Elephas maximus indicus: one gene and its partners. The protein of the gene in region 1 binds, or shares a complex with, the protein of each later gene. Links are inferred from orthologs where the notes say so. Each region holds a gene or a part of one and is shown in the gene's direction. Other genes may lie near its edges. The genes, in order: guanine nucleotide-binding protein G(q) subunit alpha, CASR, PLCB3 and CCKBR.

Region 1 (7,873 bases):
GCCGATTTCATATTGGCCTTTGGGGTGATCATCGTATGCCTATCCATACAATGGCTTGGATAACTGCTCCTCCTTCTGAACACCTATAGCAATCTATTCCCTATACTCAGCAGGGAATGCTCTGCACCTTGTGTTGTTGTTTGTTCGTTAACGCATGCGACTGACCGCCCAAATAGAGTATAAAGGCTTTAAGGAAGGGCCTTGGATGGCTCTGGCATAATGCCCTGCCTGGGACAGGCAATCTGTGAGTGTGTTTGTCTTTGAGGCAGGTTGTTTATTTGTCACTTACTGAGTATCTGCTCTGGGCTAGGCGTTGACGACTGTTATGGAAGACACAGTCCCTGCTCTCAAGCAACTCCCAATCTTATGGGAGAGTTGTTAGTTGCCGTCAAGTGGATCCTGCCTCACGGTGATCCTACGTGTTTCAGAGTAGGACTACTCTATACGTAGCGCCTTCAAGGCTGTGAACTTTTGGAAGCAGACTGCCAGGCCTGTCTTTCAAGGTGCCTCTGGGTGGGTTTGAACTGTCAGCTTTTTAAGTTAGTAGTCCAGTGCTTAACTGTTTGCTCCGCCCAAGGACTCCTGGGAGAGAGAGAGAGGGAGAATAAGTAGACAATTACAGCAGGGTGGCACAGGCTATGAAGCAGCCATGCTATGTGACTATGAGAACAAAAGAAGTGCTGAGAGTCATTGATTAACAAGCTTTCCCTTCCCCAGGAGCTCTTTCTACAAGAACTGGGCCTTTTCATTGAGTCTGGGATCACTCCTCACAATACTGAACTATGACTTTTACTGCTTTGTTCTGCCCCACCCCAGAGTCCCAACGACAGGTAATGTGATTGTGGTGATAGGTATCCACCTTAGGATACCAAAGAAGATGTGACAGTCTTCCCATTTTCCTCTGGAGTTTAACGTTCTTTGGGTTTTGTGGTTCGCTTTTCAGCTATCTAGTAAATTCTCAAAATGTTTTTTTTTTTTATCTTGCTATCTGGGGTGATTTGGGATTGCTCATTTATTTTTATGAGGTGTAGATCCCCATTTATTGAAAAGTTATTCATTCTCCACCTTCCTCGTGAAGTCTTCAGTTCTCCCTAACAGAAGGAATTATTCCTTTCTTTCTAAAACGTTTTACATTGTCACTTCTACCCCTACTTTAATAAAATTAATCTCATTTTGTCTTTTATTACAGCTGTTCAGAGCCTCATTATATCTTAAGACTATAAGCCTCTTGAGGGCAAGACCATATTTGATTCACCCTAGTGGCTCTCTCTTCCTGCACCTTCATCTTTGTTATTTATACACAGTGGGCAATGAATAAATGTTTCTTGATTGATATACTGACATTTTGTAACATGATTCATGTTTAGTTGCATATTTTAGAGTATATGCTTCTAGAACATGGCCGATAACTTTAGTAGTTCCTGCAAGGATTTTTTTGTGTGACATATGAATATTTGTTTGATAAATGCTTTTCAGATATATAGGTAAAGGTTTCTGGATAAGTCTAGGTTCAGACATGGAATATTCTTTTCCTCTTTCCTTCTTGCCACCTACACATGGCTCTATTATTGCGTTGGTTTTCCTTACTTCCTGATTTCTTCCCAGTACTTGAAGAAACATCTGATTTGTTCTATCTATGGAAACCATGGTGGCATGGTGGCTAAGTGCTACAGCCATTGACCAAAGGGTCGGCAGTTCAAATCCGCCAGGTGCTCCTTGGAAACTATGGGGCAGTTCTACTCTATCCTATAGGGTCACTGTGTCGGAATCGACTCGATGGCAACGGGTTTTTTTTAATTCAAATATCTATTGAGTGCCAGGGAGTGTCACTGATACTGGGTGTGCAAGGGTGACAAACTAGATTTCCAATGTATCTACAAGGTTCAAACCCACCCATAGGCACCTCAGAAGTAAGGCCTAGAGATCTGCTTCCGACAGGCCACAGCCTCGAAAGCCCTAAGAAGCAGTTCTACTTTGCACACATAGGATGGCCATGAGTTGGAATGGGCTGGACAGCAACTACCAATAACAAACCATCTGCTGAAACAGTTTAATTTCTTCCATCAAATAATAGGTCAATTCAGTCAAAACAGATTACCTGATAGTTTGATAGCACTGTTTGAGAGACATTTTCAAAAGACTCAGTGCATCCTTTGTGAGGAAACCGCAGACTTGAAGCTCGCTGTCATTTGATTTTCTATTGTTTTTTGCCTCTCTGAAACTCAAGTATATACGTATGGCAGAGAATGCAGACTCATCATTAAGTTTTTTTCCCAGAAGCCATTCTAAATTTCTGCATATTGAATTTCAATCTTTAATTTCATCAGTCACTTAATTTTAAATTTTTAATCTGGCAGCAAGTTTACTGGCTTTTCATAGACTTTTGCATAACAGAGGCGAGATTTGCCCTGTCTGCTTTCCTGGTCAAGGTGAAATTGAATCATTTTCTGGGCTGAATATTCTTTTAAAAACCAAACAAAAAACAAACCCGTTGCTGTCACGTAGATTCTGACTCATGATGACCCTATATATAAGAGGGTAGAACTGCCCCACTGGGTTTCCAAGGAGCAGCTGGTGGATTTGAGCTGCCAATCTTTTGGTTAGCAGCCATAGCTCTTAAGCACTGCACCACCGGGGCTCCATTCCTCTAAAAAGGAAACTAAAACAGCAGATCTTATACCTCCATGATTTGCTTTTCCTTCTGGCTTACAGTGTGTGTGTGTGTGTGTGTGTGTGTGTGTACGTGCTGGGGTGGTATGGGGGTAATGACAAATGGAAAGAACGAAGTCATAGAGCTGTCAACCAAGAACCCAACGTGCGCTGACCTACAGCAATAGTACAGGCTACCTTTGGCTTGGCTTGACCTTACTTTACATTCTGGATCAGCACCTTGCACCAGAGACATCTCAGAGAAAACATAAAATGAGAAAAAGAGACTCTCCTCATAAAGTATACTTGAGCAGGAAGCAATGCGGGTTTCTTTCACCTCTTCTAGCTGTTAGATCAACAACACCCGCAATCGGCAAGGAAAAAATTTTTTTGCCATTTATCAGTAGTACATCACAACAAAATAAGCCTCAATCAAAAGTGGAAAAACAAATAATCAGAATGGAATTTTGCTGGGACAATCTTGATTTTCTCATTTTTATATATGTATTTTTTCCTTTTCCTTTATCCCACATTATTTTGCATTTTCCCATACGTCATCCATAACTGAATCTCCGTCTAGGAAAATAAGTTTGATTACTTGCTGTTAAACACCATGTGTCTTCACAAAAACAAGAGGCGGCCTTGTAAAAAACAAAACAAAACCACCTTCAATGGCATGAAAAGTTGGAGGCCATCGGGAAGCTCTTGCAAACTTGGGCGTCTTCATTTTTCTACTCAGGATTTAGATTTCTTTGTGGACCGTTTCGCCTGTTAATCTTCCTCTTGGCCCCTCCAAGAACCAGTGACTATTTCTTCTATTCCCCAGTCCCACCCCACAACTCAGATGATCTTTATTTTCTACGACTGAACTAGGGTCAGAGGTGATGCAAGATACTTTCTAACCGAATGGCGTTTTAGAAACAGGAATGAGAAAGAATACACAAGCGGGTTTACGGCTGCAGTGGGGGGGGGGGCAGAAAGGCGCTGCTGCAATAGGGGGCCCTGGCGCGAGCGCCACCGCCGCCTGCAGGGAGCGGGCAGGGTGTGTGCGCCGCCAGGCTGTTCGGTGGGTTTGCGGGCCTGAATCCTCCGACTTCCAGCAGGGGCCGAGGCTGCTTTCCCGGGCTCGAGGGCTGGAATTCCAGGCAGGCGGAGGCCGCCATATTCCTGCTTTACCACGCCCGGGCGGTTGGCCCGGCAGCGGCAGGTTGGCGGCGGCCCCAGACCACAGCAGCGGCCGCCGGTTGGGGCACCGCGTCAGCCAGCCAGGGGGACCCAGCCCCCGCCCCGACCCCCGCCGGGGGCGGCCGTGACCGCTGCGCCCGCGGGCCCCTACGAGAGCGCTGGAGCGGGAAGCGCCCGCAGAGCCGGAGGGGGCCGGTCCCGAGCGGTGAGCTGCGCGGGAGAGGCCGGAGCCGCACCAGGAGGCGCGCCGCGGCGGCTGCGAACCCAGGAAAGCCTTCCAGGAGGGGCCGGGCGGCCCCGCCTCCCAGCTCCCCTCCTCCCGCGTCCGTCCCCTAGCTCCCTCTTCCCCCTCCTCCCGCCGCTGCCGCCTCCCTCCCGGATCTGTGCTCCAGTTCAGAGAAAGAAGAAAATGTGTGTGTGTGGCGAGGGGGAGGGCGAGCAGTGAGCAGCCGCTCCGCGCCTGGCAATCGAGGCCGGGGGTGGGCGTCTGGCGGAGGCGGAGACGGAGGAGGAGGAAGGAGTACGCGGCGGCGGGCGGTCGAACCGGCCGGCAAGCGGTGTTTGCGCGCGAGCCGGGCGGTGGGCGCGGGCAGGGCCGAGGGCGCCCGGGAGCCGTGTCAGGCGGCGGCGAACAGCGGGCGCGCCGGGCGCGGGGAGCCGTCGGCGGCCGCTGGCTGCGGGGACGTCCCGGTGGATGTGCTCTTGCCGCCCGGCGCCCAGCTTAGGGGAGTCTCGGCGGCCGCGGCGGCGCGGGGGGCGAGGCGGGCTCCCCGTTCCCGGGGAAGGAGGCGCGGGCGTCTGAGCGAGGCCGGGCGCGGCGGCCTTCCCCCGCGCGCCCCCCGAGCCAGCGCCCGCGGCCGCCTCCCGCGCCCGCCTCGTTCCTCCCGCGGCCCAGGGGACCACTCCGAGCCGTTCGCTCCCGCCGCGCCCCCCGGCCCACCAGGTGGCCCGGCCCTGGCCGTGGTCCCCGCGGCGGCTCCCCGAGCTCGTCCCGGCCGCGCGCCCGGGCGGCGAGGGCTCGGCGGCCACCGCTGCCTCCGGGGAGCGAGGGTGGGAGGGTGTGTGTGCGCGCGTGTGAGCAGGGGGTGCCGGCGAGGCTGCAGCGGAGGCACTTTGGAAGAATGACTCTGGAGTCCATCATGGCGTGCTGCCTGAGCGAGGAGGCCAAGGAAGCCCGGCGGATCAACGACGAGATCGAGCGGCAGCTCCGTAGGGACAAGCGGGACGCCCGCCGGGAGCTCAAGCTGCTGCTGCTCGGTGAGTACGGCCCGGGCCCGGCCGCCTGGTGCCCTCTCGCCGGGCTTCCGTGTCCCCGCCCGCCACTCCCGGCCCCTCGGGGTAGCTGCCCATGGCGCCCCCAGCCCCCGGCGCCTGTGGCTCACCCCTGCCCTCCCTGGGCGCGCGGGCGCGCCCCTGGCCACCACCCGCAGGCGCGCGGACGCGTACAGACACGCGCGCGCGCGCGCACTTATACACACACACACACACACACACACACACACACACGCACGCTTCATGCTGCCCTGCCGGGTGCCTTGGCGTGTGCCTTTTCGTGTCCCTAGGGCTGTGAATTCGGGGTGCGCGTTTATCTGCTGTGCATCTGCTAAACGGAAAATCACTTCACGGGAGAGGCTCGGGGCGCGGGGGTGGGAAGGTGGGCAGAGAGGTTGAACTTAAAGTGTCGTAGCGCGGCGCCCGGTGGGATGGTCGCGTGGGGAGCTGTGTGTGTGTGTGTCCCCGAGCGTGGCGAGCGGAGCCAGGACACGCTAGAAGATGGTGTGTGGTGGAGTGGCGTGTGCATCCGCTATCAGTGCCTTCTGGGGTCTGGAGTTAATTGGGGAGCGGTGGGCAGACTCGCGGCTGGATTCGCCAAGAGTGGTGATGAGGTATAGGAGTGCCTGGTCCTCCAAAGAAAGGGGGCTTATGTACTGGGGAGAGGGGCAGCCCCAAATGCTACAGAAGTGCTATTCTTTAGCCGTCAGACCACCGAAAGGAGGGACCCCAGAGGAGTTTCTTGGCCAGTGGATAGTGACAGGCTTGTTTCTCGTCTGCACCATTCCTTCCGGATAAAAATGAGGGATATGGGAGCGCTGTGCTGTGTGGTTGTTGACAGCGACGGGTATCTTTTGTTTAATGAAGGCAACCCAGATGTAGGCCTGAATTCACAATAGTTACTACTGAAAACCCATGCAGCCTCCAATTACTCCCATGGAAACAAATAGAAACCTTTTGTTTGTTTTAAACAGACATCGTTTTAATATCATTGGAATCTGGGCTAGAAGGAAAACGGGAAGCTTGTAGCAAAAATTTCCCTTTAATCTCTAAACAAACAACTCAACATTCTGCTTTAACACTAAGTTAGCAAGAAAATGCCATTTCTCAAATAGGAATTCTATTGATTATTATCTCCGAGAGAATGTTCAGTGTCAAGCCATCAGGGTTCACATACAAGCCAGCATGACATAACTCTGAGCTTTTATTGTGGTAGGAAGTGCAAACAGCTTTGCAGTAACAGGCCTGAAAAATGTCTGCACTTGTGTCCTGGCTTTTTGCTTGTATAATAAATATGTTTCTCCAACATTTCAGTAAGAGAAGAATATTGCATTGTCAGTTAGGGTTTGAGAAGCAGGCATTTTCTTATCTTGAGCGTTCCATCTTCTGGCTCAAGGAACCAATTGCCTTTGTGACTGAACTGCTATGTACTGGATCATTTACAAGAAGGAACAAAATATAATGATCACACATAGTTACAAATGGTTAATTCACATGCCATGCGTTATGTCTTCATTTGGAAACCCGATTAGGTAAGTGTGCACAGGTTTATAAAGAACAGAAGGCAGAGCCCTAGATGAAAGAGGTGGGCTTAAGGGAAACTCCAGTTGGAAAATGAAGGTTTTTTTTTTTAATTCTCATTTTTGGGTTGCTTTTAATGGTTGACAATGTATAGTTGAATGTTTTCTGAATTCTCAAGATGAGGAGAAAATAGAGAGGGCAAGAAAAATGTATAGAGTGCTTAAGGGCTCAATTACGGGAAAAAGCATGTGTTTTAGGGTGATTTCAGTGATTTGTCTTTCGAGTGATTTGATTTTTCTTTTGCCGTTTACAGTCGTTAGTTGTTTCTGCCTAGCTGTGAACAGGGCGTTGGAGGTCTCTCAAGCCAGCCCTATTGCCTGAAATTGACAGCAGCTCTGAGTTTCCCAGCAGCTGAGTTAGAGCTGGGGCTTTGCCCCAGGGCCTATGTTTGAATGCCTAGGAGGAAGACTGCTGGGGAAATAAAACATATATGGATGCCTGATTACATACTGTGCATTTAAATAACACACTGTGCATTTAAACATGAACTAGGAGATGATTTCGTGAGGGGAAAAATGGAAAGTAAAACAGTGTTCCTGCTAAAGTGGTGTTGGTGTGGAGAACTTCCCCCCCCATTAGGTTTTTGAGTAGGGTTTAATACAGCCCTCCTGCCCCCATATGACCTATTAGAAGTGGTAGGGAAATATGACATAAATTGAGAATCTCCGTTTATAAGTAAGGTTTAAAAATGCTACAGCCGTCTATCAGAAACACGATCACTGGATATCATGTAAGAGCTGGTACAGCTTTATGTTCTAGGTTTATTGCACTGATAACATGTAACCACTGCAATATCTATAATGTGGATATAGTCACAGCATACACTAAGTGTAGATTTGTGGGTGAGTGCGGGAGCGTGATTTCACAATTTTTTGAGTCCAAGAGGGAAATGATGGTTGATTTGCGGAACAAGGGAAGGTGTTGGGGAGGGGTTCCCTTTGAGGAAGCCCTGATGTGTGCTGTGCTGCTGAGTAGACTGAGCCTTCCGGTTCCTCCATTCATTTAATCGGTATCAGCCCAGAGGGGGTGACACTATATGTTCTTTCACAGTTTAAAGATTTCCTAGTATTTTTTAACCAGCTTATTTAAATTGAAGAATCACCTGCATATTGATATTCAGTATAAAATTATTTTCAAAGTAAATTGTGGGTCAAGGCATGATGCCATTTTAATGGGCTTGTTGGAC
Region 2 (6,930 bases), on another chromosome or scaffold:
CTCCGCTGTCAACAGTCTTAGATTTTCCCGGTTGGCAAGAGCATTAAAGTTTCTGGCCTATCTGGAGAAGTCCTTGGGTGGTGCAAATGTTAACGCGCTCAGCTGGTAACCAAAAGGTTGGAGATTCCAGTCCACCCAGAGGCCCCTTGGAAGAAAGGCTTGGTGACCTACTTCCAAAAATCAGTCAGTGAAAAGCCTGTGGATCACATCAGTCCAACCCACAATCTATCATTAGTTCACCTGTGCATGTGGTCACCATGGGGCGGGGCGGGGCGGGGGGGGGGGACGACTAAATGGCAGCTAACAACAACCCTTGGTGTTTTGTCAAACTCCTGCTTCAGCCCTTACAGTGAAAGGCACGTGATCAACATTCCCCCAAGGGAGCCCTTCAGCGCCTTTCCTGGCAGCCATGATTGTTAGAAAGCTCTCATTCTTTTTGAACTGAAACCTGGCTCACCACACCTTCCACCCACTGGTCGTAACAGAGTGTGAGGCAGTATCTCCCATTTTTCAGCCATCTGAGTACCACCTCTACCATTTCACCATATCCAGACACCACTGGTCCTATGAGTTCCTCAGTATCTCTCAAATTACCCAATTTTCTTACTTAATTAAATTTATTTTAAAAGGAAACTACATCAACTTGTATGTGGAAAACATTCTTTGTCACTATTAGAATATATATATTATTTTTCAAGGAAGAGAAAATGATGATATTAAATTCTGCTTAGGAACTATTGCCGAGCAAAAGTTCTGAGCCTGAGGTAGGCTCTCTCTTTGTTAAAACAGGAAATTAGTAAGTGTTAAAAAAAAAAAAAAAAAAAGCCCTTTACCATTGACTCATAGTGACCCTATAAAAAGATTTTTATAGGACTGAGTTAAACTGCCCCATAAAGTTTCCAAGAAATGCTGGTGGATTTTAATTGCCGACCTTTTTGTTAGTAGTGAAACTCTTAACTACTGTGCTACCAGAGCTCCTATAGCAAGTGTTAGAAAGGTCTAAAGACAAAGTACAGCAAAAATGATACTTCTCAGCCCTGGTGGTGCAATAATTAAGTGCTCAGCTATGAACCAAAATGTTGGTGGTTCGAACAAGGGGCTATGTGGGAGAAAGACCTGGCGATCTGCTTCCATAAAAATTAAACCCCCCCAAAACAACCAAACCTGTTGCCATCGAGGCTATCTCGACTCATTGTGACCCTATAAGACAGAGTAGAACTGCCCCACAGGGTCTCCAAGGAGCAGCTGGTGGATTCGAGCTGCTGACCTTTTGGTTAGCAGCTGAGCTCTTAATCACTGTGCCACCAGGCTCCTCCATAAAGATTACAGCCTAGAAAACCCTATGGGGCAGTTCTACTCTGTCACAATGGGTTACTATGAGTAAAAATCGACTCCATGGCATCTAACAGCCCCAACGACAACCTTGACCTAACCCATGGGATCAAGAGAATTGAAAATGGCATTTTTTTTTTCCATCATGTATTTCAATGTTAGTTAAAGTCATTGTGTAGCACTCAAAACCGTCTCGTGTTCTATTGCCGGTGCCTCTACACCTTTACTTAAACAAGGTTCTTGCCTCTCACTGGTCAAGAATGAGCAGGCAAGGCACAGAGAATTTTCCACACGAGCAAAGCTTTATTAAAGAGGCTTGCAAGCTGAGATGAGGAGGACCCAGGCAACACTTAACCCCGTCTCTCAGAACAAAGGACTTACATGGGTTTTCAAAAATTCTTGGTGGGGGGGCAGGATTCAGGTTTATTCAGAGGCACAGCGGGGGTTTTCCCGCAAGTGGCCCGTTTTGGGCAGGGATAGGTTAACTAAGGTGCGCAGTGCAAGTGTGAAGCAGCTTTTTAAGATGTCTTTAAGACGGCTCCTGTCCCAGAGGCTTCTGGGATCCGTAGCAAGACTTATTATGGGGTGTCGCACCTGTGCAGTCACCTGTTCCCCAAGTTCGATTCCCCAGCTGTGGCTGCAGCCCCTCACTACCCCTGGTGGAAGGTCACACAGCGGTCACAGGTGGATGTTCTGCACATGTCCCTGGGGCTGGTTTCATCTGACTGCTTCGGAAAGACAACTTTAAGGAAGTTTCCGGGCCGTTTTCCGATAAGAAGTTTCCGGGCTGTTTTCTGATACCCTGCTCCATTGTTCTGGGGAATGGGTTTGTTTCTGCGTTTGGGGCCCATTTCCTGTTACTTTGTTACTTTCATTTGTTTATGTGAATTGCAGATTTGGGGGCCCCTCTGTTCCCTGTCTTAGTTCCTCTATTAGAAGAGGCACACACTGGGACACACTGATGAGTTGATCAAGCCTGCAGGCTACAGTCAAGCTGATCAGGTCTTGGTCTGCTGCTCCCTGGCTGCGCCACCTGGATATATCACTTAACCTCTGTAAGCCTGTAAGTTTCTTCATCTTTAAAATGGGAGTAATAATAGCTCTTCAGAGTGATGCTTTCTTAAAGGACAGTGTCCAGATTTGAAAATTATGCCCAGGTGTGAGCCAGCTTTTGCAGGGAGGTCATTCAGCCTCAGACTATTGTTTCTTTATCCTTTGGGCACTGAATAGGATATGTCCGTAGCCAACTGAAGTCTCTAGACATTTTGATATGTTCTGCTGCTGCTGAGCTGCGATTTCCGACTACAGGGTCGCTATGAGTCGGATCCTTCGTTGTGAACTTGTACTGCTGAGTGTTTGGGCCGGGAGGAGGACTTTGCATTTATCCTTAACTAGGTTGTCCTCTTCCCTTTATCTTGGCGCTTGAATATTTGCTCAGCTCCTTCTCCTACCCAGGGGAAGGAAGCAAAATGGGCAGAACTGGGCTATGATTAGCATGCATATGAGGCTAGATATATATGTATCAGGCAACTTCGTTGAGCATCTCATTTCATACTCCAAGAACTCCTTGGGGGAGGTGCTATTCACATTTTACAGACAAGAAAACTGCATTTTCATATGAAATGGTTAAACATGGTAGAGCTATGCAATTTTTCTACTTTTTTGCTTAGTATTATTTTGTAAACCCTTTTTCATGTTGCATATTTTCCTTTTTTAAAAAATGCAACATGTTTTAAAAGAATTTGAGGCACTCTTGCCTTGGCATTTATCACTTTAATGGTTGTATAGTATCCCATTAAATTACTATAATTTATTTAACCAATTTCCTACTGTTGACGGGTTGGCTTTGTTCGTTTTTTTTTTGTGGTTTTTAAAAAGTATTATTTGTAATAAATAATCCTGCTATGAACATCTTGCACATGAGAATAATTTCATTCTGGAAATTTCCCCAACAGGGGAATTACTGCACCAGAGGGGGTAATAATTTTTATGGCTTTTATAGAGACTAGCAATTTGCCCACCCAAAGGAATATGCTTTATTTGGTGGTACAAAGTAAAAACTAGCTTTCTACAAAGAAATTAATTTTTCCGCTTATTTGCAAAATATCCTAGCGCGAGATGGGTGGCGGGCGCCTTGCGAGGGGCTGGCTTCAAGGATGAGCAAGGCTGGGTCCCGTCTTCAAGGTGCTCACGGTCGGGCAGAGGAGAGAACGCGCCAGCAGGCGCCTGCGGCCAGCGGGCGAGAACCGCGCGCCCTCCTCTCCTGGCAGATGAGTGGAAGGAGGGAGCAGTTTGGGAGTACTGGGAAGCCCTGGCGACACAGGCAACACTTGACCTGAGTCGGCAGAATGAGTAAGAGTTTTGGCACGGGATTTATATTTATTCCACTGCGAATCTCTGGTCTTTTATCAGAAAAAAATTCTCCACTCTTGGCACAGTGAACGCTGGCGGCGTCGCAAGCTCCCAACCAAGGTTGTAAACCTCTTTCCATCTCTTAGGAGGGGACGGGGAAGCCGAGGCGCGGCCCCGCAGAAGTCAGGCGAAAACCTGAGCGCGGGCCCGCGGTCTCCCGGGACCAGACCCGACGCGTGGCCTCGACGAGGGAAGGCGCGCCCTCGGCATCCGGCGCCGGAGGACTCACCGGGCTGGGATACGGTGAGGCAGCCGGGGCCACCCGGCTGGCGGATTAGCGAGCCGCCGCGGAGGGGAGCGGGGCTCGGCTGTCCCCAAGGGGACAGGCGGGCGGGGAGCGGGAGAGGGGCGGAGCTCCGGGTCGGCCTGGGGGTCCGCGGGGGCCGCTGTGGCCCGACCCGAGGGCGGGCGCCGGGAGCGCAGGGAGCCGCGCGCCTCTGCCGGACCGTGACCTTGGCATCAGGGAGCGTGCCCCGCGCGCCGTCCTGCGCTCGGCCCGGAGCCCGTCCTCGCGGAGACCCAGAGCCGAAGATCCGGCGCTGTCCTGTGCGAGGGAGCCCGGGCCGGGGCGCCAGGTAGGACGGAGGGACGCGAGGGGGCGGGCGAGAAGCGCCCCGAGTGGGGAGGGGCCGTGGCGAGGTCTGGGGGGCACTGGCTCGAGGGCCAGACCGAGGGCGCACACCGTAGCAGCTCGGACCTAGAAGCACTGTTGGGTGGGTGGGGAGACGTTGAGAGGTCAGGGCCCAGGTTACAGGACCAAAAGCTGCCTGGGTGCCGGGCTCGGCTGGTCAGTGTTGCCCCAGAAGGCGCGGTGGGCCGTCTTCGGGAATGAACGCGAGTGCCAGCAGGAAGAGGAGCTGTGGTAGTGTCTTGTGCCTCCGCCTTACTTCTGCCCGTGACACGGTCAGAAAAAACTCCCTTTTTACACGCGTTAACAGAGAAGCAGGCGGCTTTCTAATGTGTATGTACACGGTGGGCGCGCACGGTGTAGGCACCTGTCCTGGCAGGATCCCTGAACCAGCCAGCCAGCTGCCCCGGGGACCTCGCCTCTGTGACGCCAAGTTAGGGTGTCAGTTCCCGGGGCCTAATCACCCTGTAGTTCTTGGGGTGAGTGGCAAGAGTACAAGATAATAGAATCTTTTATTGTTATTATTACTTTACATTTATAGTTTTCAATGAGTAATACATGCGCATGGTTAAAAATAAGCAAACGCTACCAAAGTTTACCTTCTAGAGATAATGTTTGTAAATAGCATTTGCATTTGTTCATCTCTCTCCTCCTTTTTTTTTTTTTTTTGCCCAAATCATTTCTTACTCCTTGTTCTGTCCCCCTCCTTTGATTCTTTATCCCACCCAGGAAGGATTACCCAATAAGCAAGGTAAACACGGCCTGATTTGTTTTTACTTACTAATCTGTAGTGAACAATTTCACATGTTTTCACCACAAAAAAAAAAAAAAATGCGAAATTGTTCACTGTGGATTAGTTCTGTAGGAAGGTGCTGTGGGGTTGGGAGAGAGACAGATGCCAGCCATACCTAGAAGCAGAATCTTTGATGTGGTGAAAAAATGTGAAATTGTTCACTACAGACGATCTAGTAAGCAAAGTAAGTACCGTGCTTACCTTCCCTGTTGGATAATCTGCCCGCCCATGCCATCCCCTGCGTAATGGAAGTACCAGAAGAAAATAGCATCACTGCCCCATCCCTTAATCTCCAGTGTTCCTGCTCACACCACCTTTGTCATTGTGAAATTGTGTTTCACTGAGGTAGCCCTCAGGGTAGGAAGCCCACTAATGAGAAGACATTTCATTTACTTGCCTTAACTCTCTCAGTGACCACAAGAGCAGTCTGTGACAAGTTCTGTATTCACTTACACTTTCCCCTAAACTGGACTTTCCAAGTGCAGTTTAAGTAGGGTCAGGTACTGAGGAGAGTTAATGAAGGATGTTTCCTAAAATGCTCTAGATTTCTAGAAATTAATACCTCACTAGTTCCTATTTCTGGAAGTAGAACTTTGCCAGTTATGCCTTCCCACTCCCCCCGTCCCCCCACCCCCCATCCCTCCAATCCCATCCCCAGCAGAGTGACTAGAGTAGGTTTTTCCCCCTTTAGGAACCTGGGAGGAGTCCTGTTGCTCGGTAGTTAAGTGCTGGGCTGCCAACCAAAAGGCAGTTCAAACCCACTCTCCCTGAGGGAGAAAGATGTAGCATTGTAGGAGAGGCAGTAGCAGGAGGACAGGAGGGGAGGAGCAGGCCAAGACCCTTGAATGGAGGAGAATCCTGGAGCAGAGGGCCCTGGGAGATCGGTCATTTAGCAATGCGCCCAGAGAATTTTGCTAAGAGACCACACGTGGCTTATCTCTTGCCAACAATCAGCACAATCAACTGTTTCCCAAGACTTTGTCTCAGCAAGACCAGAACATGTTGAAAGGGGGAAAAAATCAGCAAACCAGCCCATTTTTCAAGAAAACAAAAGTAGTTTAAGTTATTTTTACTGAATTAACAGGTTCTTTTGGCGTTGTGTACAGTGTTTAAAATAACCTAACAGCATTCCAGTCACCGTGTTTTCCTTTATTTTAGTCGTTTTTTCATGTTGCACGAACCCTGGTGGTGTAGTGGTTAAGTGCTACGGCTGCCAACCGAAGGGTGGGCAGTTCGAATCCGCCAGGCGCTCCATGGAAACTCTATGGGGCAGTTCTACTCTGTCCTGTAGGGTCGCTATGAGTCAGAATCGACTCGATGGCAATGCGTTTGGTTTTTTTGGTATGACTTTGATCTGGATCTCACACATGTCAGAAATTTCAGACGAGTTAGAAGCTGCCACTTCCTAAGAAGTCTTGAATGAGGGAAGGGGACTAGAAAATAAGGACTGGTCCTTGTAGTAGGTTTGGGGAATAAGGGAGAGGAATGGGTTGAGCACAAGTTGGAGACTGGTAAGCAACAGAGTATAATCCTTAAGAGAACAGGGCTTTGCGTGAGTGAGATGTAAAAGAATCATTCATTCAGAATGAGTGCCTGGCTATATGCCAGTCACCGGGGACAAAACGGTGAATAAAACCAGCCAAGGTCCCTGCCCTCCTGGAGTTTGCAGATGCTGTGGGGAAGCAGACGTTAGTAAAATAACCAAGTATTGAATAAGTAACTTCAAATTAAAACAAGCTCTGTAAGGGAAAGAAGTGAAGTTCTT
Region 3 (7,795 bases), on another chromosome or scaffold:
TTCCCCCGCCTCCCGACCACACCCCCTTAAAGGGCCAGCGCCGCTGCGCGCCCATTGCCCCCGCCCCGCCGCCGGCGGGGCTAGGGGAGGGTCTGGCCATCAGGGTTTTGAAGTCTGTCTGCCCTCCACCCTTTTTAATCTTCCTGCTCCAAGCTCAAGCGTTCTGAGCGCCCGCTACCAGTATTTCCTCCCCGGCAGGGACCCTGGTGTTCGGTCCCCACTGAGGCAGGAATGGGGCCGTCTGGGTTAGAGGGGAGTGGGCACCGTGTGAGGGCCAGGGTCGGGGAGAAGACACCGGAGTCCGGACATCTGGTTCTCCGGTCCTAGGCCAACGGGGGGCGAGCGAGTTTCTCCGCGTGGACTGACACGTGGACCCGGCTCCCCCGGGTCGAGGAGGGAGAAGGCAGGCAGGAGCTGCCCGGATCCCCGATTGCTCTGCCCGACGAGGTCCCGCACCCCCTGTGGAGGAGACAAGGATGGAGGTGGGCACAGGCTGCCCAGCCCTGAAGGGCCAGACCCCAGGCAGCCACCGCCCACCGGCCAAGATGGCGGCGGAGAATGGCACCATGGGGAGTGTAGTTCGCGGGGCCGGCCCCGCATGGCCGCCCCTCCCCGCGGCGGTGCTGGGGCTGGAAAGCTCGGAACTTGTTTGGGGCGCCCTCCTAGGACCGGCCTCGACAGGGCGCGGCCCTGTGCACCCCGCAACCTCTTTGTGTACATACAAGGAACGTCAGGCGAAGAGCTGGGACGTGGCTGAGCCAGGACTCATGATAATAAAGATAATAATAACAGCTGATCTCTTAGTGAGCGCTTATGGAGACCGGCGCCCAGCCAGTTCTAGCGCGAGGGCCTCGCATTTGCCGTTCCCCAAATCTTCGTCCTGTGGCTTCTTCTGTCCTTTACGTCTCACTGATGCCTCTCAAGGTGACTCATCCTGTTTGATTTTCTGTATCTTTAAATTGTCTCTTTTTTTTTTTTTTTTCTGTCTCCCACCTCTAGACCATGAGCTCCATGGTGCCCAGATGTCCTAGACCTTGGCTACTGCTCATGCCCGAGGTTGGCCTCAAACCCCCGTGTATGGGACAAATGACTCCATTGCTGCTGAACCCCCTGCAACTGGAACTTTGGCAGACTCCATAACTATTGACTGAAAAATCAATGAGTGAATGAATGGCTTCCTCTGTGTCTCCTTTTCTTCAGAGGATAGTGGTGAAGATTAAGTAAGAACATGCATATAAGGTCCAATTACTGCACCACAGAGGTTGATGAAGTCACACAAATAGATGGAGGTAGAGCTCCGACTTGAACCTGGGCTGCGTGACTCAAACCCCTGATGCGAAGTCTCTACACTCCTCCCTGCCTCCTGTCTACACCACCCAATAAGGTTGTGCAGCTCCTGCCGGAATGCTTCCTCAGATGGCAGGCTCACTCTCCACCACGCGAAGCAGACTGTCAGGGTCTGAGAAGCACCAGGTATTTCCGTCCCAGCCCCTCACAGACCCACTTGTCCTGGAAGCCAGGAAGCCCTCTGCAGCAGGTGGGGTTCAGAGATGACTTGGGACTGGCCAGGATTACACAGCTGGTGCTGTGGCCAAACATGAACTCAGGACTTGGACCTCCTTGTGCCTACCCTGTAGCTGGGAAGAAGAGACAAAGAGAAGACAGAGTCTGGGAATAGTGGGTGTGGGGGTGAGGGGGCACTAGGCTTCTCCCTGAGGGGCTGGGCTGAGGGGCAGGCTCACAGGTCTCAGTCCAGGGCCGGGGTAGAGTGAGCTGATGCCTGCTCCCTCCCCAGCTCCTCCTTCTGGCCTTAGCCTCCTTTCACCCAGCCAAGGGGGCCAGGGAAGGGCTGACCCTTGCTCTTGCAGATCAGGTGGGACCCATCCTTTCCACAAGGAGACCCACCCCTGGAGAGCCTGGCATGATGAGATCAACACTCTGCCCCAAGTCCAAATTCACCACCTCGCCCCACCTCACCCCACCTACCCCACAAGGATGGCTGAGCCCTTCAAGTGCTTTCTGAACCTGAACATTGATTGAGGCTCAGGGATGCTCACCCAGAGGAGGGGTGAAATACCTAACCAGCCCTTAAGGCCTCACAGCTTGCTGTGGGAATGGGGCCTGCAAACCACCACGACTGGGGTGCCAGCCCCAGTTCTGTCCCCTAGATGCTCCGTGACCCAGTTCCTCCTCCCCTCTGGGCAGGTGTGAAGGCCTGTCCTGTCCAAATGTCAGAGGTCACCTATGGGCTTCTCAAGGCAGGATGGGAGGTGCCCAGTGATGCCCTTTCTTCTTCTCCACTTCCACAGACACCCCCAAGCCACACCCAGATTCTTGGGGCCATCCCCTCTCTGTCCATTCCCTTCCCGTGGCCACTCACCCAGTAACTGTTGGTGAGGCTGGACCTGCATGCTGGCCTGGAGCTTCTCTTTAGCTGGGCTGCTATGCACAGGATCTTAGCTTGGAGTGGAAGAGCTAGGTTCAAATCCCAGCTCTGCTCTGCAGCCTAAGAGGCCATGGGCAAGTCACTTACCTGCCCTGAGCCTCTTCAAGGGGGTTGATTATCCTGACCTCTGGTGATTGGGGCCAAGAGCCCAGTGCTGCCTGAGCCCACTTATCGGCCCTAGTTCCCTTGCCTGAAACTTCTGGGGCTGGGTGTGTCCATCGCTCCCCTTCCCTCTGGGATCAGGCTATCCCAGCCCCCTTCCACCAGAGTGCTGCTAAGGCTGATTTTAGCGCCTCCCTGAGGCAGAGGCCCTAGGGAGGGTCCTGAGGGCAGTGACCACTCCTTACTCAAGGCTTCCTTTCTACCATTATTGCTTTCTGAGAACCCCATTACCATCATGAGCGTCCAAGGTGGAAAGATTAATGGGGGCTGCCCTGGCCTCAGGGGACACAGGGGTGGGGAGGGAAGGGGAGAGGCTGAGGTCCAGAAAACAGGCTCCTATCCTGTTTTCTAAGGAGTTAATGCCCAGCTCATCTATTGAGTCCTGTGCCAAGGTCTAGGGACACAGTTCAGACCTCCCCAAGCTCTGGTCCTGGCCCTGACTGGCAGGGGCCCCTGCCCTAAGCTGACCTATACCCTTTCCCGCTTTCCTCCTCCTCCTTTCTCCCTGATGCCCCTACCACCTGACTTCCATCTACTCCTTAGGTGGTAAGCTGCATGTAGCCAGGGGTCATCTCTCTCATTCATTCGCTTATTCAATCCTCTTCAACCTCCAGCTTCCAGAGAAGGCGACTGAGGCCCAGAGAGACCAGGTTCTGGTGGTAGCGAGAGGGAGTGGGCTTGAACCCAGGTCTATGGGCATAGAGGCTGACCTTCACCCTGTGCGGCTCAGTTCCCCTAGAGGGTTCTGTGGTGCCTGTGAATCTGAGGGACCTGGCTCTGCTGCCCTGGAGAGAGAGAACAAAGATAGATGGTCCTACCCCTTTTCTTTGTCTCCTCAAGGGCCGGGAGTAGAGGCAAGAAGGGAGCCGGCCTTCAAGTAAGAGGGTTGAAATCACCTCTGAAGCTGTGTGACCTTGGACAAGTCCCTTCCCCTCTCTGGGCCTCATGTGGAGATAATAATCCTCCCCACAGGGCCAAGGCCAAAGGCAAAATTCCCTAGGTTAGAGTTGGTGCCCGGCATGGTGGGGATTTGAGGATGGCCAGTGGCAGGCCCAGCTCCCCTCAGGGTCTGAGTGCCCTGGGGCAGAGGGGGCTGGCAGAGCCGGCTCCTCCCTGGCTGACCCCTCCTCCCCCAGAACCAGCTCTGCTCTTTCTGGGTTTCTAGGTGACTTGGCTGGCCCCTCTGGATGAGTTCTACTTTAAACCTGCTGTCGCTACTGCCTCCGTATTGGGGGGGCTCCCACAGGGGCCCCCAGGCAGGAGCCCCCCCAGCCAAGCCCTGCGGGAGGGGTTGCAGCCCCCACCCATCCCCTGCCCATGTGCTTTCCCCTCCTCCCAACCCTGGAACGCAGATTTCAGGGCACCTGCTGTGGGCCGGGCACTGCGGAGCCCCTCCTCAACTTCCATTGTTCTGGATACCTAGGAGGCTTCTGACCCTCCGGCCAAACCACCAGCTTCCCCTGCGCAGTCTCCAGCCCGAGGCCCACAGGGGCAGGCTTCAGATTCAGTCCGGAGGGGCCTGTGGCACGTGAAGGGGGCTGTTCCGGGGTGCGCCCTGGAAGGCCAGGACGCCTGGGTCCTCGGAGGCGGCAGGCGCCCGGCCTCCCAGGGCCAGGGAGGGGGGAGGGCGCTGCCGGCAGGAGGCCCATTAGCCGGCTAAGTGCTCCCAGGGAGGGGACCGCGCGTCAGCGGGAGGGGTGAGGCGAAGTGAGGGCAGAGAGGGGGTGGAAATGGTTTTTCCTGCATTCAGCTAAGTGCCGCGGGAGTGGGGCGGGGGACAGAGCTCTGCGCCCCCGACCCCCCTCAAGTCCTGCCCTCCAGTAGTGCTCTTGGTCTGTCCCCCAGAAAGTTAGCGGGCAGACCCCGGCCGCCTTCGGCAGCGTCTTCTACACGCAACCCCCCAGCTGCGCCTCCAGCAGCCATCCTGGCCCCACGTCTCCCCACCCTGGGCCCTGGGCCCGAAGCTGAACCCCCAGCCAAGCCCCAGGCCAGGTGCGCCCCTGCCCCTGGCCCCAGCCCCTCTCTGACTGCAGTGGCAGCCCGGCCGCCAGAGGGAGCCAGTGCGGGGCGGGCGGGCCGACGCCGTGGGAGGGGCGGCCCCGCTGCGGCCCCGCCCTCGCCCCGCCCCGGCCCGGCCCCGCGAAGTCGCTGGTCGGTCCGGGACAGACTGGCGGGCGGGCGGGCGCTGACGCCGCGGGGCCGGAGCGGGCCGCCCGGAAGCCGCGCGGAAAGACCAGCGGCGCCGTCGGTCCCTGTCGAGGACCGGTGGGTCCCCGACGCGCCTCCAGGCCGGCCATGGCGGGCGCCAGGCCCGGTGTCCACGCGCTGCAGCTGGAGCCGCCCACCGTGGTGGAGACCCTGCGGCGCGGGAGTAAGTTCATCAAATGGGACGAGGTAAGTGTGGGGGACTCCCCCCCGCTCAAGCTCGACTAGACGCCGGGGACCATCTCAGCCTGGCCTGGCCCCGGCCCCCCCATCCCAGCCCGGCTGCGCTCCGGAAACTTGAGTCCCCAGGCGTCCTCTTAATGAAGACTTTGTCCCCCCCCCCCCCGCCCCAATCCCTCAGCTCTGGAAAATTTGGCTCCCCAGTCCTTGGCTAATAAATCCTGCCCCCCCCCTTCACTCGTTCCTCCCACCCCTCCCTGCCAGGCTAATTCTAGTTCCCCTACAGTGGCCTGGTCCACAGACCCCTGCCCAGCCCTGGACATCCTGCTGTGGCTTGGGACCCTGGCACCCAGTCTGGCTCAGGGCACCCCTTTTCTGGAACCCTACTCTTCCCAGTGCCATCGTCTGAGCATTACTCTCTCATTCATCACTTTTTCACCCCATTCTGGCTGTCACCCCTTTGCCCTGCTTCTAGATCTCAGCCCAACCATCTGCTCAGGCAGGAGCACCAAGACCCCCCAAATGGAGGCATTGCCCTCCGCAAGTTCCTTTACCCTTGGAGAACTTTGCTCCCCACTCCTTGGTATTGGGGACTTTGAACCCCAATAAAGCCTGGTTACCCTTTCCAGCTGCCCTGCCCTTCTGCTTCCCAGACACCCTGGCCTCCCACCCAGTCCTGCGCCCTACCCTCAGTTTCACCTCCCACCCCTCTGCCCCCTGGGGCCCTCCTTCCTCAGGGCCTCCACCCGGTCGGCCTGTGCTTCCTCGCTGCTCCTTCCCAGTTAGACCAGAGGCCTGGAAGACTCTGGGCTCCTTTCCGGCTGGGTGGGGCAGGAGGCGTGGGAGCTGGGAGGGAGGACCTGGAGGCGTGGCCTGAGGCAGCAGGTGTGCCACCAGAAGTGCCTGGGTGCCTGGGGAGTGGGGAGACCCCTCCCCCCAGGCCAGCCTGTAGGGAAAAGTTTCTCCTTTTCCTTCCAGTGTGATAAACCCAAATAAGGAAGTGGGAGCAGAGAGAGGGCCCAGGGGGTGGGGTGGGGGTGCTGACAAGGGCTTGGGGCTGGAGAGCAGGGGGCCTGGGGCTACCTTTAAAGGCTGGGCCCCTGGGGAGGGGCAGAGGGAGGTACCAGGGACAGCACCGTCAGAACTCACCCCTCCCCACAGTATTGGGGCTTCAGGCCCAGAGCAGGGTTGGGAATCCTACAGAGAGCAGCTGGGGATGGGTGTCAACACACTGAGGTGGGGTGGCTCAGGCACCCCAGAAGTTCTGGGGCCTCCCATCCCCTCTTCCCCCAGATCAATCTCTTGTCCATTGTAATCAAGCCCTGAGATGGGTGGGGCTGGTACAGTCCCCATTCTCCAGAAAGGGAAACTGAGGTCTTGAAAGAGGAGATTCATCCCAGACTCCACAATGGAGCTGTGCTGAGGCTGGAGCTAGAACCCTGGCAGAGGTCCTGGTCCCCTGCTTCCCAGGCCTCAAGATGCTGGCACCATACTTCCTGCCTGCAGATCCTGGCACCCCTGCATGATCTTGGGCAAGCTCCTTAGCCTCCCTGTATCTGTTTCCCCATCTGTAAAATGGGAATAACAAAGGCACACCCTTCATGGCGTTGTTGAGAGGACCAAGTGAGCTCACATATATGAAGTGCTTAGAACTGTGCCCGGCACACAGTAGGGGCCAAGAGAGTGTGAGCTGTTATGCTGATGGTGATATAATTACCCACCAGACAGGGAGCAGCGGTTCCGGGGTGGCACCGAAGGTGAGGTTGGGTCCTCTTCTGTCCGGAGGAGCCTGGGGGAGGAGAATTCTACCTGTGGCTACCTGGCCACTTGGGCCCTGGCCAAGTCTAAGCCCTTGATGACAGCCCCTTCTGGCTGCTGCCCATCATTTGCACTGGGTGGCCCTGGGAGTAAGCCAGGGACTAGGCCTTCCTCAGAAAATGGGGCCAGGGGGCCCTTCCCTGCACCCTGCCAGCCACAAGCCCATTTGAGGGTGGACAGAATTCACTGTCTGTTGCAAAGGCAGGGACAGTCCCCCTTTTGGGGGGACTCGGTCTGTTCTTTTGTGAGGCTGTGAGGGTCCTGTGGCATGCAGGGTGGGGTGGGGGAACTGGGAGGCTCTGAGGGTCCTGGGGGTGCAGGGTGGGGTGGGGGAGCTATGAAGCTGTGAGGGTCCTGAGGGTGCAGGCTGGGGTGGGGGAGCTGTGAGGCTGTAAGGTTCTGTGGGCTACAGGGTGGGGTGGGGGGAGCTGCGAGGCTGGCTGTGAGGGTCCTGGGGGTGCAGGGTGGGATGGGGGAGCTGTGAGGCTGGGAGTCCTGGGGGATGCAGGATAGGGAGAAACGGACTTGGAAGTGGGTATAAGGGTGGCTGGTCATATTGGTACCCTGAGGGATGCAGAGGGCTGTGGAGGTCAGACGTCCGCCCCCTCTGTTTTCATCTCATAAACCTCTATAGTGTGCTCAGCTAAGGGCGCTACCAGCGGCTCCAACCTTCAGGGAGCTCTGGGGTCTCCTGGGGAAACCAAGCCCGGGTAGAGGTCAGGGGAGGCCTCCCCGAGGAGGTGGGTCAGATTTCACGGGAGAGAAAGAAAGAAAGGTGATCCCAGCAAAGGGAACAATGAGGCGAAGCTGGGAGTGGGGAAGGGTGGGCTGTGGTCCATGGTCCACGTGACAGGTCTTAGGGCAAGAGCTGAGGCTGGGAGGGGTCAGAGCGTGGGGCCCGCAAACGTCATGATGAGGACCTTGCCTTGTCCTGAGGGCTGTACAGAGCTGTGGAGGACCCGTGGACTGGAAGGGGCCTTGTCT
Region 4 (7,435 bases), on another chromosome or scaffold:
ATTTCATCTCCAAAATCCCTTTTGCCATAAGAGGTGATATAATCACAGAAGCGATATCTCATTATATGCACAGGCTCCACCCACACTCAAGGAAAAAAGATTTTAAACGGTGAGGGTCATTGGGGCTCATTTTTTAATTCTGCCTGCCACAGGTAGGGAAGCCAGGGAAAGCTTCACTGAGGAATTGCTGCTTGAGCTGAGATCAGAAGGTTGAGTAGGAGATAAGGCAGTAAGGAAGGAAAGGAGCTTCCAGAAAGAGCTAACCCAAAACAAAAACCAAACCCACTGCCGTCGAGTCAATTCCGACTCACAGCGACCCTATAGGACAGAGTAGAACTGCCCCGTAGAGTTTTCAAGGAGCACCTGGTGGATTTGAACTGCCGACCTCTTGGTTAAGAGCTGTAGCACTTAACCACTATGCCACCAGGGTTTCTGAAAGAGCTAACAGCATATGCAAAGACCATGTAGCTGAAGGAATTAAAGCAAATGAAAGGGACTAAAGGAAGTCCAGCATGTCTACAGTGGAGAGAACAAGGGCCATAGTGGCCTGAGATAAGTTGGAGAGGCAGGTAGGAGCCAAACCACACAGATTTTGCAGGCCCTGTTAAAGGGTTTGCTTGCAGAAGAGTGGGATAATCAAATTTATTTTCTGAAACATTACTCAGGCTATAAGGTAGTGGATGGGCATAAGAAAGCATCAGTAAAATGTGGTAGACCACTTAGGCTGGGAGAGTAGTACAAGAGCTCGAGATGCCAGTAGGGTAATGTCAGTAAGACGGAAGCAGACTGATTCAAGGAACACTTGTTGTTAGCTGCCAACGAGTCAGCTCCAACTCATAGTGACCCTGTGTACAACAGAACAAAACACTGCCCAGTCCTGTGCCATCCTCATAATCATTGTTATGCTTGAGCCCATTGTTGTAGCCACTGCGTCAATCCATCTCATTGAGGGTCTTCCTGTTTTTCGCTGACCCTCTAAGAAGCATAATGTCCTTATCCAGGGACTGATTCCTCCTGATAACACGTCCAAAGTATGTGAGAAAAAGTCTCACCATCCTTGCTTCTAAGGAATATTCTGGATGCACTTCTTCCAAGACAGGTTCATTCGTTCTTTTGGCAGTTCATAGTATATTCGATATTCTTCTCCAATACCGCAATTCAAAAGCATCAATTCTTCTGTCTTCCTTGTTCATCACCCATTTTCCATGCATATGAGGCAATTGAAAATACCATGACTTGGGTCAGGTGCACGTTAGTCCTAAAATGACATCTTTGCTTTTTAACACTTTAAAGGGGTCTTTTGCAGCAGATTTGCCCAGTTCAATGCATCTTTTCATTTCTTGACTGCTTCTTCCATGGGTGTTGATTGTGGATCCAAAGTAAAATGACATCCTTGACAACTTCAGTCTTTTCTCCATTTATCATGATGTTGATTATTGGTCCAGTTGTGTGGATTTTTGTTTTGTTTATGTTGAGGTGTAATCCATACTGAAGGCTGTGGTCTTTGATCTTCATCAGGAAGTTTCAAGTCCTCTTTGCTTTCAGCAAGCAAGGTTGTGTCACCTGCATAACGCAAGTTGTTAATGAGCCTTCCTGGAATCCTGATGCCCCATTCTTCTTTATATAGTCCAGCTTCTCGGATTATTTGCTCAGACTGAATAGGTATGGTGAAAGGATATAACCCTGACACACACCTTTCCTGACTTTAGGTCACGCAGTATTCCCCTTGTTCTTTTCGAAAGACTGTCTCTTGATCTATGTATAGGCTCTTCATGAGCACAATTAAGGGTTCTGAAATTTCCATTCTTTGCAATGTTATCCATGAGTTGTTAGAATCCGCACAGTTGAATTCCTCTGCATAGTCAATAAAACACAGGTAAACATCTTTCTGGTACTCTCTGCTTTCAACCAAGATCCTTTTGAGATCAGCTATGATATCCCTGGTTCCATGTCCTCTTCTGAACCTGGCTTGAATTTCGGTAGTTCCCTGTCGATATACTGCTGCAGCTGCTTTTGAATGATCTTCAGCAAGATTTTACTTGTATGTGATATTAATGATATTGTTCGATAATTTCCAAATTCAGTTGGACCACCTTTCTTGGGAATAGGCATAAATATGGAGCTCTTCCAGCTGGTGGGCCAGGTAGCTGTCTTCCAAATTGCTTGGCAGCAGGACTTTGTGATTGATTGGGTATGAGAGTAATGCAGTTGGAATTCTCAAGAAGTAGACTCTAAAACAGAGATGTTTACTAAGAGCGTTCTTGGAGTCAACACCTGTGCAAGAGAGAGGACAAAAACAGAACTGGGCAAAGGGAGAAGCTAAGCAGTAATTTAGTCCCAATGAAGGCCTCTGTCAACCCCATAAGGAGCTCTGGGGCTGTAAATGTCATTCAGAGTTGTCCTCCATTGGGATGAGGACTTTATACCTCTGCACTGATCAGTCATTAGATTTAGGATAGTGGGTTTAGAAAGCAAACATCACCTTGGATAAACCAGCTCTCTTCAGCTCAGGTATGAAATTGAGAATAAATCCAGCTTGAGATAAGAATAAATCCTTCATTTTTGAAGGGGTCTGGGTTTTGCATCACAGCCTCCACCACAGGAATGAAGGCATTAAGGGTGATTCCTAAATTTCTGACTTGCGCAACCTGGTGGGTGCATTTATGACATATATTGCAAGCATTTTTCCCCACTAGATTGGGAGCTACTCAAGCACAGACTGTATTGGACAGCCAGGGTTCAGCCCTATAGCTGGCACATACTTTGTTGAATAAGTGAATGACTGTCCATGACTCCTATTTCCACCTTTCTCTCCTCAACATTCCCTTTTCTCCCCTACCCTCACTTCGCCCCTCCATCCAATGTGGGAAAAGTACAGCAGGTTATCTGAGGCCCCACCTGGGCTGCCTCTGAATAAACAGCAAATCAGGCTCCTCTGATGGGCAAGGCAGGTACTGCCAGGAGGAAGGAAAGAGGGGCAGGTGAGGACATCCCCAGCCACCTCAGGCTGAAACCCTCCTTCAGTGCTCCAGCCGCAATCAGCTCAGCGCTGGATGGACCAGGTCCTCTGAATTCCCCATAAACCCGGAACCCATCCCCACGCTAATCTGCTCTTTGACTGATGCCCCCACCTCTTGCAGCTACTGATGGGGACTGGAGTTTGTTAGGAATACAGGAGGATGGATAGCTGGCAGTGCTGAAATATTAGGGGGCGTCCTGCCCTAAGAAGCTGAACCCACCTCAGTCCTGCACACGCCCCCTGTTCCTTTGTTGCCGCTGCCCCTCGGTGACCCAGCCCCCTTCTGGCCCCCTCTCGTGGGAACCAGGCGCACTACACCGGCCGCTCCACCTGCGCTGAGAGCAAACACCGAGCCATCAGCGTGTTGGGTGGGAGTGGGCGCTGCCTGGAAACCGCGGAGAAAGCCAGCCAGCCTCTTCCTCCCCTTTTCTGCCTGCGCTGGGCTCGGATTGGAACCATCCTCTATCTCATCCCCGTTTATCCCGGGCACTTCTCACCACCACCTCTGGCCGCTCTCAAAGTCCAAGTCAGACTCTTCCTCCAGGCAGCCCTTTCCCCTGCCAAGGCTTTCCTGGGGACAAATGCGCTCCTTCTCCCCCGCCCTCCCCTGCCAGCTACTGGAAGTTCTTTTGAGCCTTGGGTGGAAGCCTGGGTTTGGGCCTTGGGTAGGAGGTGGAGAGTGCCGGGGCAGATGCAGAGGCTACCCCAGCCCTGCGGTGACGAGCTGAGGGGCATTAGGTTAGCGAGAGTGCCGAGGTCACTGGCCACTCCGCGCCTCTCTGGGGCTAAAGCAACTGCGCTGCAGCGGGTGACCCCCACACGCAGCCCTTGTCTCCGACGCCACCTGCACGTTCCCTACCCCATCCAAAGAGATACAGGAACCCGGGGCAGTAGCGCCCTACTCCACCCCTCTTATCCCCCCACCCCGCATCGGCCCCTCCCACCAACAAACACACACACACACACACATAACATCTCTTTCTCTCTCTGGCCTTCTGGCTCTCTCTCTCCCCAAGATTTCCCCGGAATCGGGGGCGGGGGAAGAGAGAGGGAAGGAAATCTCTAAGAGAAGACTGGAGAGATCCAGGGAGTGGGGGGACCCTTGGAGGACAGTCTCGCAGGGAGGGGGCGGGTGAGTCCGCAGCAGGGGGCGGGGGCGGAGGCATCACCTGGCCGGACAGACGCGGCCCCGCGCCAGGGAGGCACCAGTGCCCCGGCAGGGCGCGCAGAGCAGAGCTGAGGCGTGGGGCCGGAGCTGGGGCGGGGACCAGACGGGCGCGGGGGGCGGGGGCGTCTGAGCCTGAATCGCAGCGTGAGCAGGTGGAGCCGCGGCAGGAGCCCGCCCGGCCCAGCGGACGGAGGCAGCTGGCCCCGCTGGGGCCATGGAGCTGCTGAGGCTGAACCGGAGCGTGCCGGGACCCGGACCTGGGTCGGGGGCTTCTCTGTGCCGCCCAGGGGGCCTCCTCCTCAACGGCAGCAGTGCCAGCAACCTCAGCTGCGAGTCCCCACGCATCCGCGGAGCCGGGACACGAGGTGGGTGCCTCCCTAACCTTCCTCACAAGCTCCTTCTCACAGCACCCTACAGCAGTAATAGAAGCTCCCCACGCCCTCCACACTGCCGCCTCAAACGGCCACACCATCTCCTTGGGAGTACTCCCTCAGCTGCCCCTCACACAGACGACCCCCCACCACCACACCAGCTCCTCACAGCCCTCCCCACAACACACATCCCCCTCCTTGACCCAGAGAGTTGGGAGACAAGGACCTCTTCTTGTCAACCCTTGGAGATATCTCTTTTCCTTTTACATCCAGTTCCTGGTGCCACGCTGGGGAAGGGAGGGAAGAAAGGAAGGGAAGATTGAGAAAAGAAGGGATCTGGTTAGAGGAGGGAGCATTCTGGAAGGCCTGAATGGGAAGTTAGAGCTGTAATCTCCTCTGTCCCCCACCATAAGCCCCAGCCCTCCCAAAGGAGATCCTCATGCCTGACCCCCTAAGGGCTGCTCCCCATTTCACTCCTCCAACCCCTCATGAGTCGGAATCAACTCGACGGCACTGGGTACTGCCTTCAAACCCCTCTATCTCCCAAGTTGAGGTTCTTCTCAAGGCTCTGTACTCTCTCTCTCTGTCTCCAAGTCTCCAGGCCCCCTCTGCATCCTGCCTATCCTTAAATCTCACCCTCTCCATGAGCCAGCCTGCCCACTCCATAGCCTCCGTCCCTTTGTGCCACCATCTTCTCCCCCTTCCTACCCTCCTCAGACTACTTCCAATCACCCAGTCCCCAAGAGAGATTTTCAATCCTCTCATCAGCTCACATCATCATTTTCTTGATAATTCCTGCACCCCTCCTTTCTTTAAATGTTTATCGAACACCTGATCTCCCAGTTCTGGGGACACAAAGATGTCCCCATAGTCAAGTACAGAGGAGAGACAAGCCAATGGATAAATCACGGTCAGCGTGGCCAGTGGCGTGAGAGGGTCTGAACTGTCAACACTTAAAGGACAGAATTAATTAGTTCAGACTGATGGGGACCAAGAACTTCAAGAGGAGGGGAGCTGACTCTTAGAATTGGAGTTCTGTAGGCAGAAAAGGGAGGAGGGCAATTCTAGGAGAGGAAACAGTGTTAAGAAGGGAATAGTTAGAATGCACTGTAGTTCAAGCATTGATTTACTCCACAAACTAATAATGCATGCTTTCTCAGCTCAGTTGTTACACACACTCACTTAGATTCTTTCAGTCAACAAATATTTACCGAACCAGAGACTGTGCTAGGTACCGGGGAATGAGTTGAACGAAACTGAAACAGTCTCTACTTCATGGAGCTCACAGTTTAGTGGTGGGGACAGACAAGTAATCAGGGAATTGCAGCCCCAAATGAAAAGTGCCTTATAGGGTTGTGGGAACACAGAAGACAAGCACCAAACCCAGACTTGGAAATCAAGTCTGAGGAAGTGATATCTAAGGTGAAATCAGATAGATGAGAGAGATCCAGCCAAGCGAGGGGGAAGAAGAGGCAAAAAAAAAAAAAAGCATCCCAAGCAGAGGAAAGTATGTGTAAAAGCCCAAAGTGTAAATTCATGGCACTTTTAATCAGTGTGACATAGTTTCTGACTGACTTGTACCATCTGAGGGGAATAATGAACGCTCAGGCTGGAGATCAAACTAGTGTATTTACGGACTCTTATAGACCCAGCTAAAGGGTGTGGATTTTATCCTGAAGGCAGTGGGAACAACTAAAAGGTTTTAAACCAGGATTCGTTGTATAGTGTAGAGGATGGATTGGAGGACATGAGACGGAGGACAGAGGAACACTTTAGAAGGCTATTACAGTTATCCAGGTGAAACAAGATGCTTAGACAAAGGTACTGGCAATGGAGATGGAGAGAAGAGCCACTTCTGGAAGCAGAATCAACAAGACTTGGTGATTGATTAGAAGTGGGGTGGGAGGGAGAGGTCAAGGGATGAAACCCAGGTTTCTAGCTTGAGTAATTGGATGGATGTTGGTGCTTTATAATGAGAAGGATAACAAAGGAGCATAAACAACTTTGGAAGGGATTATAAATTCAGTTTGGAACCCACTGAGTTTAAATGCCAGTGAGACATCCAGGTTAAATTGCCCAGTAGGCTGTTGAATCTGTGGGTCTGGAGCTTCAGGGAGAAGTCTGAGCTATTAATACAGACTTGAAAGGCCTTTGCCTAGAGGAGGTAATGGAAGCCATGGGAATAGATAAAATCATCCAAAGATTGTGTAGAATGAAAAGAAAAGAAGTCCTAGGAAAGGACCCTGGGGAAACCCAATATTTAAAAGCCAGGCAAAGGAAGGAGAGTCCATGGAATAGATTTAGACCAAACTATCAGAGAGACAGGAGCTATGTCCTTCCAGAAGTCAAGGGAAAAGACAGTTTCAAGCAGGGTGGGATCCAAAACCAAACTCACTGTCCTTGAGTCGATTCCAATTCACAGCAACCATATGCGACAGGGTAGAACTGCACCGTGGGGTTTCCAGGCTATAATCTTTACGGAAGCAGACTGCTACATCTTTCTCCTGCGGAGTGGCTGGTGGGTTCTAACCACCACCTCTCAGTTAGCAGTCAAGTGCTTAACCACTGCACCACGAGGGCTTCTTTTTAGGGTAGGGTAAATGATGTCAAACACTGGCAATATAGTTGGAAAAGGGCAGAACAGTGACCTTCATATTCAACAGCAAGAAAGTTCTTAGGTAGAATTGTGGGTGCTGAGGCCTGACTGCAGTAGGTTAAAGGTTGGGCCAGTGGGAGAGGGGGTTTGAGAAGTGAACTAGGGTGTGTAGACAAAACTTTCAAGAAATTTTGTAGGGAGAGAGAGAAACAAAGGAAAAACAGGATAGTGCTGGAAAATGCATTAGATTGAGGAAGGAGTGTGTGTGTGTGTGTGTGTGT

The links.
Region 2: the proteins of guanine nucleotide-binding protein G(q) subunit alpha (region 1) and CASR are in contact, whole or in part, in a cryo-EM structure (PDB 8SZG), measured with the Homo sapiens proteins. The link is inferred for Elephas maximus indicus from reciprocal best matches to the Homo sapiens genes GNAQ and CASR. Residues at the interface, in NP_002063.2 of Homo sapiens: His63, Leu196, Gln197, Ser198, Ile323, Tyr325, Ile337, Arg338, Phe339, Phe341, Ala342, Lys345, Asp346, Ile348, Leu349, Gln350, Leu351, Asn352, Leu353, Glu355, Tyr356, Leu358, Val359; in NP_000379.3 of Homo sapiens: Lys644, Ala645, Asn647, Arg701, Val702, Leu704, Val705, Phe706, Ala708, Lys709, Ile710, Pro711, Thr712, Phe714, Phe801, Arg873, Thr876, Ala877, His879, Ala880, Phe881, Val883, Ala884, Arg886, Ala887, Thr888, Leu889.
Region 3: the proteins of guanine nucleotide-binding protein G(q) subunit alpha (region 1) and PLCB3 are in contact, whole or in part, in a cryo-EM structure (PDB 8UQO), measured with the Homo sapiens proteins. The link is inferred for Elephas maximus indicus from reciprocal best matches to the Homo sapiens genes GNAQ and PLCB3. Residues at the interface, in NP_002063.2 of Homo sapiens: Pro185, Thr186, Thr187, Ile189, Glu191, Pro193, Arg202, Gln209, Arg210, Ser211, Glu212, Arg213, Arg214, Lys215, Trp216, Ile217, His218, Val240, Glu241, Glu245, Glu249, Glu250, Ala253, Leu254, Arg256, Thr257, Ile258, Thr260, Tyr261; in NP_000923.1 of Homo sapiens: Pro257, Arg258, Leu259, Asn260, Glu261, Val262, Leu263, Arg707, Asp709, Lys710, Ile719, Asp721, Gly722, Ile723, Val724, Ala725, Ser845, Asp846, Tyr847, Ile848, Pro849, His852, Tyr855, Ala856, Ala858, Leu859, Ile860, Asn861, Pro862, Ile863.
Region 4: the proteins of guanine nucleotide-binding protein G(q) subunit alpha (region 1) and CCKBR are in contact, whole or in part, in a cryo-EM structure (PDB 7F8W), measured with the Homo sapiens proteins. The link is inferred for Elephas maximus indicus from reciprocal best matches to the Homo sapiens genes GNAQ and CCKBR. Residues at the interface, in NP_002063.2 of Homo sapiens: Arg30, Arg34, Asp35, Arg37, Arg38, Leu40, Ser198, Val199, Phe341, Lys345, Asp346, Ile348, Leu349, Gln350, Asn352, Leu353, Lys354, Glu355, Tyr356, Asn357, Leu358, Val359; in NP_795344.1 of Homo sapiens: Thr87, Val88, Thr89, Asn90, Glu151, Arg152, Ala155, Ile156, Pro159, Leu160, Ala162, Arg163, Val164, Trp165, Gln166, Thr167, Ile241, Leu245, Gly248, Leu249, Val331, Leu335, His394, Arg396, Phe397.

Annotation. Positions count from the first base shown.
Region 1 is NC_064827.1:94,374,645-94,382,517, reverse strand, and holds the start of guanine nucleotide-binding protein G(q) subunit alpha, read left to right. Parts: upstream 1-4,858; 5' UTR 4,859-4,955; coding exon 4,956-5,091; intron 5,092-7,873.
Region 2 is NC_064819.1:12,719,665-12,726,594, forward strand, and holds the start of CASR (extracellular calcium-sensing receptor), read left to right. Parts: upstream 1-3,836; 5' UTR 3,837-3,987; intron 3,988-4,157; exon of another isoform or gene 4,158-4,319; intron 4,320-6,930. UniProt on the Homo sapiens protein: G-protein-coupled receptor that senses changes in the extracellular concentration of calcium ions and plays a key role in maintaining calcium homeostasis.
Region 3 is NC_064825.1:127,429,750-127,437,544, forward strand, and holds the start of PLCB3 (1-phosphatidylinositol 4,5-bisphosphate phosphodiesterase beta-3), read left to right. Parts: upstream 1-4,767; 5' UTR 4,768-4,903; coding exon 4,904-5,002; intron 5,003-7,795. UniProt on the Homo sapiens protein: Catalyzes the production of the second messenger molecules diacylglycerol (DAG) and inositol 1,4,5-trisphosphate (IP3).
Region 4 is NC_064825.1:59,928,056-59,935,490, forward strand, and holds the start of CCKBR (gastrin/cholecystokinin type B receptor), read left to right. Parts: upstream 1-4,349; 5' UTR 4,350-4,401; coding exon 4,402-4,552; intron 4,553-7,435. UniProt on the Homo sapiens protein: Receptor for gastrin and cholecystokinin. The CCK-B receptors occur throughout the central nervous system where they modulate anxiety, analgesia, arousal, and neuroleptic activity.